2 linked regions of the Arabidopsis thaliana genome follow. The protein of the gene in region 1 purifies or fractionates together with the protein of each later gene. This does not show direct contact. Each region holds a gene or a part of one and is shown on either strand. Other genes may lie near its edges.

The links.
Region 2: the proteins of AT2G37230 (region 1) and GCD1 fractionate together in Arabidopsis thaliana (co-fractionation; one large-scale study listed by BioGRID). This does not show direct contact.

Annotation. Positions count from the first base shown.
Region 1 is NC_003071.7:15,636,257-15,641,479, forward strand, and holds AT2G37230 (Tetratricopeptide repeat (TPR)-like superfamily protein), read right to left. Parts: upstream 3,513-5,223; 5' UTR 3,195-3,512; coding exon 921-3,194; 3' UTR 641-920; downstream 1-640. Other genes in the region: AT2G37220 (RNA-binding (RRM/RBD/RNP motifs) family protein), read right to left, coding at 1-75; AT2G37240 (Thioredoxin superfamily protein), read right to left, coding at 3,979-4,038, 4,155-4,215, 4,316-4,407, 4,505-4,584, 4,677-4,713, 4,801-4,860, 4,947-4,992, 5,070-5,202.
Region 2 is NC_003076.8:25,009,970-25,015,492, reverse strand, and holds GCD1 (ribosomal protein L20), read right to left. Parts: upstream 3,537-5,523; 5' UTR 3,418-3,536; intron 3,308-3,417; 5' UTR 3,267-3,307; coding exon 2,518-3,266; intron 2,280-2,517; coding exon 2,090-2,279; intron 1,699-2,089; coding exon 1,497-1,698; coding exon of another isoform or gene 1,486-1,496; exon of another isoform or gene 1,129-1,485; coding exon 1,007-1,128; 3' UTR 681-1,006; downstream 1-680. Other genes in the region: AT5G62260 (AT hook motif DNA-binding family protein), read right to left, coding at 4,145-4,552, 4,636-4,797, 4,885-5,016, 5,134-5,216. UniProt on the Arabidopsis thaliana protein: Essential for fertility (male and female gametophyte functions and development). Required for the integrity of female gametic mitochondria. Modulates male gametophyte functions, including pollen tube growth and style penetration.

The sequences.
Region 1 (5,223 bases):
AGGTCTGGAGACGCCGAAAGGAAGAGATTTAGGGTTGAAGGAAGAGAGAGCGAGAGACGAAGCTGAAGCAGCCATGGGAAGAAGAAGGGATAAGGCTTTTAGGGGTTTTTGGGTGAAGAAGATGATTTTGAGAGTGGAGATAAGATGCAGTGTCTTTGGTATTTATGGGGCAAATGAATAAATATATTAAGTTCTTTGCACAAATATCTCAAACTTATTTTATTTTGTAATTTTACCTCAAACTATTTTTTAGGCTCAATATTCTGATTTCTGTTTTTTTTGTAAGAATTTTTATTTTCTTTGCAACTATTTGTTTCCACATAAATGATAGGAATTATTTTATTTTTCGCTTGTTTAGTAGTAATATACAAAAAATTTAATACATGTCGCAAATTGTTTCGTTTTGCATTTTAGTATGCTTATTGTATTTACTTTTCTAAATATTTTTTGTGATAAAGTTATGTGCTTTTCTCACTTAAATTAGTTGTGTTTGGTTGTGATTTTATTGGGACAGTCTACTAACTACTTGTCATAATATGAAGTGTGATGATAGATGAGATGAGATCTGGACCGTCGAATTTTGGATGGACAGTGGAGATGGCACGTCTCATGCTGAAGCTAAAAATCTATGAGAAGATAAGATATTTTACTAACAGCCAATGGAAGATGCAACTCTTGTTCCAAACACAAATCTTCGAAAAAAATCTTTTACGTATTTAACGTTTTCAAGAGGTTAAGAAACTAAATCAGGAACGATACAATTCCTACCAAAAAGAAAACACAGAATGATCATACAAACGCGTCCTTCAAAACAAGTTTCAAAAAAGGATTTATTTGGAGAAGATAACTGAAGTTGTTGACTTGACTTGAACCAACAATGAAAGGAGAATAACTTAAGAAAGAATCACTTTGTCAAGTTTCTATAGAGAAACATTGTTTTGTTTCTTGATTCCTTGTCCCTTCTTGATCATTCTAGAAAGAACATCAGCTTGCTTTGTGTTCCCTTCTTGGTTCAAGCTTTTGATCAGTTCATCAGAGCTCTTCCAATCTGTTGAACTTCCTTTCTCCATGATCTTACAAAGAACTGAGTACGCATTCAGAGTCTTCCCAGCTCCTAAAAGCGCATCCAACACTTTGTCGTAGCTCGAAAACTCTAAGCTGAGATCTCTCTCCAACCCGAAATCTAACAGCTTCAATGCTGCAATCGTCTTCCCTTTCTCGCTTAAGACAGATAAGAGGCTGTCCAGATCAGCTGTGTGTCCGTTTTGGTTCAGAAGATCTATACGCCCCAGGGCTTCTTCTACGTGTCCTCTCATTAAGAGGGCTTCCAAGATCTTGGCAATCAAATCCATGTTGTCTTCGATACCAACGTTTTTATCTATCATGATCATCATCACACGGCTTGCTGTCTGCACCCTACCATCCTCGAACAAACTCTCAATCACTGACCTGAAAAGCGATGAGTCTGGGACATGCCCGTCTTCGACCATGCTGTCCAGTGCGGTTTTCGCGTCTCCAGGCTCACCTTTGCTCATGTAGCTCTTGATGAGCAGCTCATATGCGTTTGATTCTCTAGGGACACCTCTCCTCGACATTATCTTCAGAATCTCGTAACTAGAGTCTGGGTTTCCTTCCTTTGCATGACCACGGATTAGATTGTTTAAGGCATCTTGGTCTTGGACACCTCTTTTCATCAGCTGCCTGAAAAGCACTTCTGCTTTTGCCGTTTGGCCATTGTTGCACAAATACTCGATTATTGGGTTGTAAGCGCTGGGCTCCATTTCCAGAGTATCCTGATGCCTCAATATGATTTCTTTCTCAATAAGCGTATCTAAAAGCTTGATAGCACGATTGTATGCACTAGCCTTGCATTGGTTCTCAATCAAAACCCCATAGTGTCCCGCCTCTGCTGGAACATTCAGTGTAGCCATGGCTTTGAGCACCTCAGTGGCTGCCGCCATATCCCCTGCTTTGCTCTGAGACACCAAAAGCTTAAGAAAGATCGAGTTATCTTTTGGAGCAATGTGTTTCGCCATCATATTCTTCAAGATATTCTTAGCCTCCACCATTTTCCCTGCATCACACAGACCAGGCAACAACGTCGAATACGTAGTAGCATTAGGCTCAATACCAGAAGATCTCATCTCCTCAAAGATTCTCAACCCATCATCAACTCGGTCCACCGCAAGATATCCTTTAATCATCGTGGTGTAACTCACAACACTAGGCCCAATCTTATTCCCTTTCATCTCCACAAACAACTTCTCTGCCTCATCCATCTTCTTAAACCGGCAGAACCCATTGATCATAGTATTAAACGTAGCATCATCCGGCGAGATCCCTCTAGTTTTCATATCTTCAAAGAACCTCAGAGCAGTCTCTAACCTCAAAGACAAAAAGAACCCCCACAGCATTAGATTATAAGTATGCCTCGTTGGCTCAACACCCTCACTAACCATCTTATTGAAATACCGTTTCGCCATCATATACCTACCACGCCTCAAAATCACCTTAAACAAACTATTATACGACTTAATCGTCCTCTCCACACCCAAATCCTTCATCTTCTGAAAGATTTTAACAGACTCTTGAACAATCCCAGCTTTTCCATAACTCTCAATAAGCACCACAAACATATCCTCATCCCAAGGAACACCCTTTTCAGGCATATCCAATAAAATACACCTAGCATGATTAAGCTTCGAAACCTCTCCAAGCATCTTAATCATTTTCATATGTGTATCTCTATCATGACGAATCAATCCAGATCTCTCCGTCCACCGGAAAAATTGAAGAGCATGCTCAAGTTTCTTAGCACCGTGCAATACATTATAGACTAAAGAATGATCCCATTCAGGTACAAGATCTCGGATTGAGTTCTGTAAACGAGTCGTCCAAGCACGATTATCCATCATTCTACATATTGTATCCTCTAGCTTTTCATGGTTTTGACGCTTACCTCGTTGGAACCTCTCTCTGAGTGGTCTCGTCTCTGTAGAAGTCAGATTCTTCTTCGTCTCGGATTTTGCATCTGGAGATTGGGTTTCTGGGTTTGCGTTTGCTGGAGTTTGGGTTTCTTCGATGGTGCTGAATAGACGAGGGAGTGAGAAGAGAGATGAGTTTGATGATCTGGGAAGCGAGAGATAAACCCTAGCTTTTGATTGGTAGCGTTTAGATCTGGAAATGAAAGCCATTACAGGAAATGGAACCTTTGTCTCTGAGTTTTTCTGAAAATTTTCAATTCGACATGGAAGGACAAAGGAAGCAAGAGTTTTTAGTGATGAGTAGGGTTTTAGTTTAGGGAAGAAATGGAGTCCTGGATCCAAATCTTGTTCCGGGTCGGGTATTTTCTGAACTTGAACCCGGCCTGTTAAGTGTTACTATCCAGCCCGGTTTCGTGCATAACAGATGGGCCTAGAATCGTATCTAGTGTTGACCAACATGTAATTTCCACACTGTTATCTATAATTTATTTGTTTTTATTAATGTTTAAAGTTCTTATGAGGAATAACAAACATGTATAAAGTAATTTGAAATGTAACCTTAAACAAATGTTGGATGGTGATAGGAGATGCCTAAGCTGACATATTTTGTGGGACTTCAAGATAGTAATCTATAGTCTTACCTTTGATCAACTATGTTATCATATCAATAGAGACAAAATTGTTTCGATAACTGGATTATGTGAATTTGATGTACATCTTTATTTGGAAATAAAAATATATATCTTCTAGCAAGGGCCACACTTATCCTTCGCTGATCTCGACTCATAAGTCATAATGATCATCAAAAATCAAGAAACAATGATCATTACTTTCGGTCTACGACTTGTCTTTTTTTCTTTCCCTACCTATATATCAAATGTGGTCGTTGTGATTGTGGTAATGGTGTTTTATGGATTTAGTTGAGTATCCGGGCATAGCAGTGTCGTTACTGTTTTTTAAATATCTATTTTTCGATTGCGATTCTTTCAACTCTTCAAGCACAACACGCTTTAAGGATCTCTTCAACAGGCGGGTCATCACCGGCTTCTTTGTCCTGAAATCCGCAAACAAATTGTTGAAAACAACAATGTGTTTGAAAAGATATATCGGTATACTAGGTTCCCAAATATGAGGCTAGTTTCACAATCAAGATTAGACGAAAGAGATTACCTTGCGTATATAAGAGATGTTATCTTTCCCAGGGCCAGCAACTAAGATTCCGCCTTGTTGCCTGCACAAGGTCCGTGACAATAGTTGTTAAGAAAAACGGAAAGTAATCTCATCGATCTCTAACCAGAAGGAATGAATGATTCATATACTCTTAAACTTACCAGCCGCCTCTTTCAACTGTATCTTTCATAAACGAGAGTTTCCAGTCTTGGCGGTATCCTTCCATGTAAGACTCTAGTATCTTCATAGCAGCCTATAATAATGCCACAGAAGCTACTGAGAGTCTGAGACCACAAAAGCAGAACATTTTGGTTACCTAATTATAATATGCTAAGTAGAAGTCACTCTACTTTGGGTGTAAATGTAACAGAAACCCCTGAAACGAACTCAAGCGCCTCGTATGATGCGTGGTTTGGATCCGCATAGACCTCTGTATTGAGAGAAAGTTGATTACAGATAATTAGATCATCTCATAAAAGGAACTACTCACCAGGCTTTTTTAGTAATCAAGAGAAAACATACCTCCTTTAAACTTAGTCTGTTCCACAAAAGTATTAGCCTGCATACATAGATGGTCATAACGTGAGAAGCAGCAGCTTAAAACTGCTTACGCTTACAAAAATTGCGTATTCAAAATGTTGTTTACCTGATCGATGCTTCCCGGTCCGATCAGAACAAGAGCAACACCAGATGCATCCATCACATCCTAAACAAAAATCTCAAAGGTATCACTCAATGACTTCAATTGTGTATAAATGGCCAATCTTTTTAAACCAAAGATCATTCTGTTACCTTCTTTTCTGCAAGATAAGCTGCTCGTTTCCGACAGAGCACACATCTGAAAACATAACAAGCAATCTTAGATAGTTACACATAGTCATAAACCAGAATCATCAAATATAATGAGAAAATTACCCAAAATGACGAGCAAATGCAACAACGGCCTTCCTATCTTTCCATAAATCAGAAATCGGAATCTCATTTCCTCTCAAATCCAAGACTTTCACTGTATCTAGCGAATCAGCTGTACCTTTCCCTATTCCAGCTCCTGTGGAGAATCAATATAATC
Region 2 (5,523 bases), on another chromosome or scaffold:
CGAACTGGTCCAAAGGGCAAAGGTCCGAAGAGATTTTGATCTGGTTCAAGTTTTAATTTAGTGTGGGATATTGTGGTCCAAGTGCAACTCGAAACAGTTCCTATTGGTTGATTTGATAATTGTAGATCATGAACAAAGAGATAAGAAAGAAAAATATCAAAAGTTTGACAAAAACATAACAAAAAATAGCAAAACAAATATTTAGAGAACTTCTAAATTCTACTACATTCGATCGATTTCATATATTTTACTGGTCCGACGTTCAAAATACATTAGAAATGTTTAGATCGTATACAAATTTAAATAGCACAAAACTTTATTAAATACGTACGTGTAGGTATAATTGGAGTTCGATGCATGTACTACACAGTAGACATTATAAGACATTTTGAAACCGTAGACGTAGACATGAATCCTCAATAGTCTTTATCGTCGCGACATACTTCAGAAAAGTCGTAAAAGATTGTTTTTTCCGACCAAGATCAAATCACCGGAAGTATACATGTATTCAAACTAAATCTCGAATAATTGTAAGTGGGAGGAGGTAAAGAATTCAAAGGTTGGGATAAAAGAATGGGTCTATTCAATGATTTTATATGGTTGATGAAAAATAAAATCCAACCTAAAAATTAAAAAATTAAGCGAACGTGGGATTGGGATAATGTTGAGGAGGAGACAACGATAAAGAACAGTGAGTGGCTACAGATTCTGCGTCGACCATTCCAGGAGACATCATCTTTTATTAGTGTTTTTTTTTTAATATCATGGGTGGTGATTTGTCTTTTTATTTTATATGTTTGTTTGAATATATTAGCAAAAATGAAATAACCTAAAATACCAAACATTAAATGCTTATGGTGACCAAGGTAAGTTGGGCCACAAAACAAATTATAAACCCAAAATTAGAATTGCAAGTCACCATCGACGCTTCCGATCCACACCACCAACGTTTCCAAACTAGAGTCATGTGGTTTCACTACGCTTCCAAAACACCTCATTTTTGGAATCACGTTTGCTTACCGGCTTTGAGACATGCTATGCGCCTCTCCTTCCGCTTCTGTTTCCGCTTCGACCTCCGCTTCTGGTTCGCGGGCGAGTAACGCATCACCTCCGTTGATATAATGCTTCCTAGACAAAAACAAACATACTTTTATTTTAGCTTTGCCAAACGCACCACAACTTTTAACATACCACAACAAATTAGGACAAGATTCTCTAAATCATCTTTCAATTCGTTTCAAACGATGAAGGAACCTTCTTAAACATAACAGAGAATTCTAATACAAGATCATGATTCTATTAAAACAACACTGTGTCTTATGATTTATTTGAACCTCACTGATAAAGTTAGAGAGAGCTAAACGAAAAACAAAAGCTACCCATCTTATTCTATTCAACTTAAGATCAAACAGAAGCAAAATCAGAATCAAACAAGAACCCACAGGAGACATAACATTCCCATCCTGATATAACCATTGATGGAGTCTAGATCTTACGGCGACGTAGTGGGGTTTCACGCTTAACATAGACCTTCTCCATTTCGTTGAGTGGTCGGCTTGATCCATCTGGAAGACTCATAAACTTCCAGCCACCTCCGGCTCCACGTTTGCCCTTAGCACCCAATTTCTCAACCGTGATTTTCCATCCCTCTGATGAACGTCTCCTGCTGTACTTGTGGCACATCACTTCTCCTCTCCACTGGTTTAGAGAGCAAAAGGTAAAGTAACGTTTGTTATCACCAAGGAGAAATGACCAAAGAACGTCTAATAACTCAGCAAGAACTCAAGCAGGAACGCTGATGTTATATATCAATCAAAAGGCGTGGATCTATTCAAACCAATAACCTTTTAAACAATCCACAAGCAAGTTGCAATACCATTATTACTTTCAATCTTTCAAGGTTATTTTACAAGTTACCAAATTTAGAATAGAGGGTTCCAAACTTGCATCTAGTCTCAAGTTTTCCTTCTAAGTTGCAAGCAGGTCACTTGATAATTAACATATGGATGGGAAAATGTCTCAATAGACCAAATGTAGTAATGGTTTACTAAGTCAATGCATACTCAAGTGGGCAAAAGAAGGGCCTTACTTTCATTTTGTTGAACTCAAACCTTCGGACAAATTCTTCGTAAAGCATGTCATCCTCTTTCTTTGAGATCTCATAATGGACTTCATCCATATCTTTGATTGTACCATCCCATCCTTCTGGCATGACCTTGAAGTCGGGTTTGTAATTAAGTGAGGCCACATGAAATTCCCGGTCATGCGAAATGAAGAACCTGTATACCAATATCAAAATGAGGGTTAAAGGAAGACGAAGCCACATAATCCGCAACCTATTCAAGTTTGCATCATGATCGTTCACTAACAATGCTAGATCCAACTACCTTAACTATTTTGGCTATAAAGAAGACTAAATAAAAGAGAGTACACACAGTTACTCCATTTCAATTCATGTAAAACTGAAGTAACATTATACCAAGGTATAGAAATACTAGTCCATGTAAAGTAACTTACTCAGGGTACTCATCAAGCAAACGGTCAACAGAATCATCCAAAGGACGACCAAGCTTCCTCTCCTCTTCTTCTTCATCTTCTTTAAGAAAAAGAATGGCGTGAACACGCTGCCTCATAATCCTATAATCCTTAGCAAGCCTCTCAATAGTATACACCTCAGGATTCTCTTTGTGCAATCTATACATCTCAGTCTTCTCAGAGTCCTTAAGATAAGACCCTCTAGCACCTGGCTCTTTAACTTGCTTCAACAACACACTGATCTCCATCATTCTCTGTTTAATCCCATCAACAAAAGCCCTGCCTTGCCTATTATCTTGCTCAATCTCTTTAAGCAAATCATCATACTCATTCATTTCATTAACCAAAGCTACCTCCTTTGGACCCAATTTGCTCATTACATCACCCGAATCAGAAGGGGTGTTATCAGAAGAAGGATTCGCCGCGTTCTTCTGACGACCAACGGAGACACCATCGAAATGCTCCTTAGTTAAACCAGTAGACCACATAGATTTATTGTCCCAATCAAGATCAGCAGATCCTGTACCACCAAATGATCCTCCTGTTGAAATATTCCAGCCGTTATCATCGCCTCCAACTCCATCAGATCCTGATTTTGCAGAAAATGCTCGATTCGTAGCAGATTGTAAGATTTTTGATGAAGCGTTCTCAAGTAGAAACCCAGATGCTCTCGTGCTAGGGTTAAGTGAAACCGAGGAGAAACGATAAATGATCCTACTAAGGTTATACATTGCTACTGATTCTTCAAATCAAACGTTGAATCGCACGAACGCTGAAACAAAATCGAAAGAGAAGATCTAGTAACTTACCCAATAAACAACTAAAACACACAGACAAAAAGTTCGAATTTTGATTACATGAAGATAAGGTAGAGCGAGTTACCCAAGGAAGATGAGAAGTCGAAGCTCCGATTAATCGGAATTAATGGCGTGAAGGGAGTCACGATAGAGACCAACGGAGGCCAGTTACGACTGCGATAAAGGAAAGGGAAGGGTTTTGAGAATTAGCGAAGAGTTTGTATTTATGTTTTAACCCCTATATTTCTTTATTTATTTTAAATATCACCTTATAGTTGTTTTGCTTTAGTTATGCTCACTTCCTTTTGTATCTTGACTTTTTATTTGTTACAATTTAAACCCAGAATCCACTGATGAGTCTGTGTATGTGGAACAGAAATTATATAGACTTTTGCAATTACGCACGATCTAGACTTGAAGCAATTTTTAAACTGATGAATGTTTTAATGACATAGACAAATAATGATGAATCACAGGTAGGATTTTATAGTACTCCTACTTTGTATTATACATCAAAAACATTTGTTTGTAGTGAATCTTATGAATGGACTTTGCAAGAATATGAACCATATCACAAAAGTCTTACTAAATTTGAATCCCAATGACCTCAACAATAAGAACATCGTTTAGTCTATGACTTCGACATGATTAAATCTAAACCGATCACAAAGAAGAATAACCCTAGAAATTAGAAAAGCACACAAAAGAAGAAAACCCTCACACAACTAAAACAACCCTCTAAAAAAAAGCACTCCTTTAAGCTCCCTTCCTTTCTACACAAGAAAACTTTCTGACTTTGATCAGAGAATTGCTCAACCACTATGAGATTGGCTCCTAGTATCGCCTGAATCATCATCATCATCACCACCATCTTCGTCTTCATGTTCTTCTTTGTGAGTAGTACCAGTGTTCATATTCCCGTATCCATGATAGGCCGGTGTGAAATTGTTCATAGTTGAATTGTCGTTTTGGAAAGAAGAAGGCATTTGAGCCATCGGTCTCACTATACCACCACCATAAGCTTGTGGTTTCTGCTCCTCTACGGTGTTCACCGAAGGAGAAGTTGAATTCACGGTTGTTATGGTAAAAGTAGGAGGTTGTTGTTGTTGCAGTTGTGGTGGTGCTTGTGGTTGTGGTGGAGCAAAAGCCTCCATAACTCTAGGTTTCTTCTTCTGATTTTGTTCTGCTTGATGCATCACAATGAAACTTCCCATTACCACCTGTCACATATTATAAGACTTTAGAGTTTTCTATACTCCTGAATCTGTAAATATGTTTCATTCATGTAATCAAATCGTGTCACCTGAACAGGACCAGCTGCTATAAGCATACCGGCAAGGCCACCACCAAATATATTGCCATTTGGTCCGGCTAAAGAAATGCTCATCCCACCAGCCCGACCTTTTGTTCCTCCATTTTCAGTAGGCATAAAGGAACCAGATAGCGATAGTATCTCAAACCGACCCTTAGAAAAGAAAAAACACATAACAGTTTTACTCGATATATATTTCAAAACGAGGTACTAACGAAATTTGATTCAATGTTTTGTTACCTCATATGTAAGAGTGCCACCTGCATTGGTAGGTTGACCAAGAGTGACATTAGAGATCGAACCAGTTGCAGAAAGAATGCAGATAGCTCGAGATCCTTGTTGCGAATACGGCATAACCTTCATTGTCACATCCTGATCAAAACAAGAAATTCTCAAACAAAGACTGATAGAATTTAATACCAAAGCTTGAGTTACAAGCACCGTGTTGAAGAAAGAAAACAAAAGAATCCTCTGTGGGAAATTTATTACCTCACCGCCATTGACAGTAAATTGATGGGTCGTAAAATTTGCACCCACATAGCATGAGAGCCCAGGAAGAGGAGGAGTAGGAGCTGCAAGAGATAGTAAAACAGAGTTTGCATTAGTCTAATCAGCTAATTAATTAATCCTAATCCTCAAGCAACTAACTCCATGATTCAAAACAAAGACCAACTAATAATCTAAATCTCTTTTTATTCACACAGTAATTAAAACAGATAATGAGAAATCGTAAGATCTGCTAAACAACTTATAATCACAACTAGACATACTTATCTTCTAAGATAAAAAGGAAGAGACAGAGATTATTCTGTCTTTGTATTTTTTTTTTTAAAGACAAAATCTTCTTTTTATTTCTGTTTTTGTTTGGTCAGCATCAGC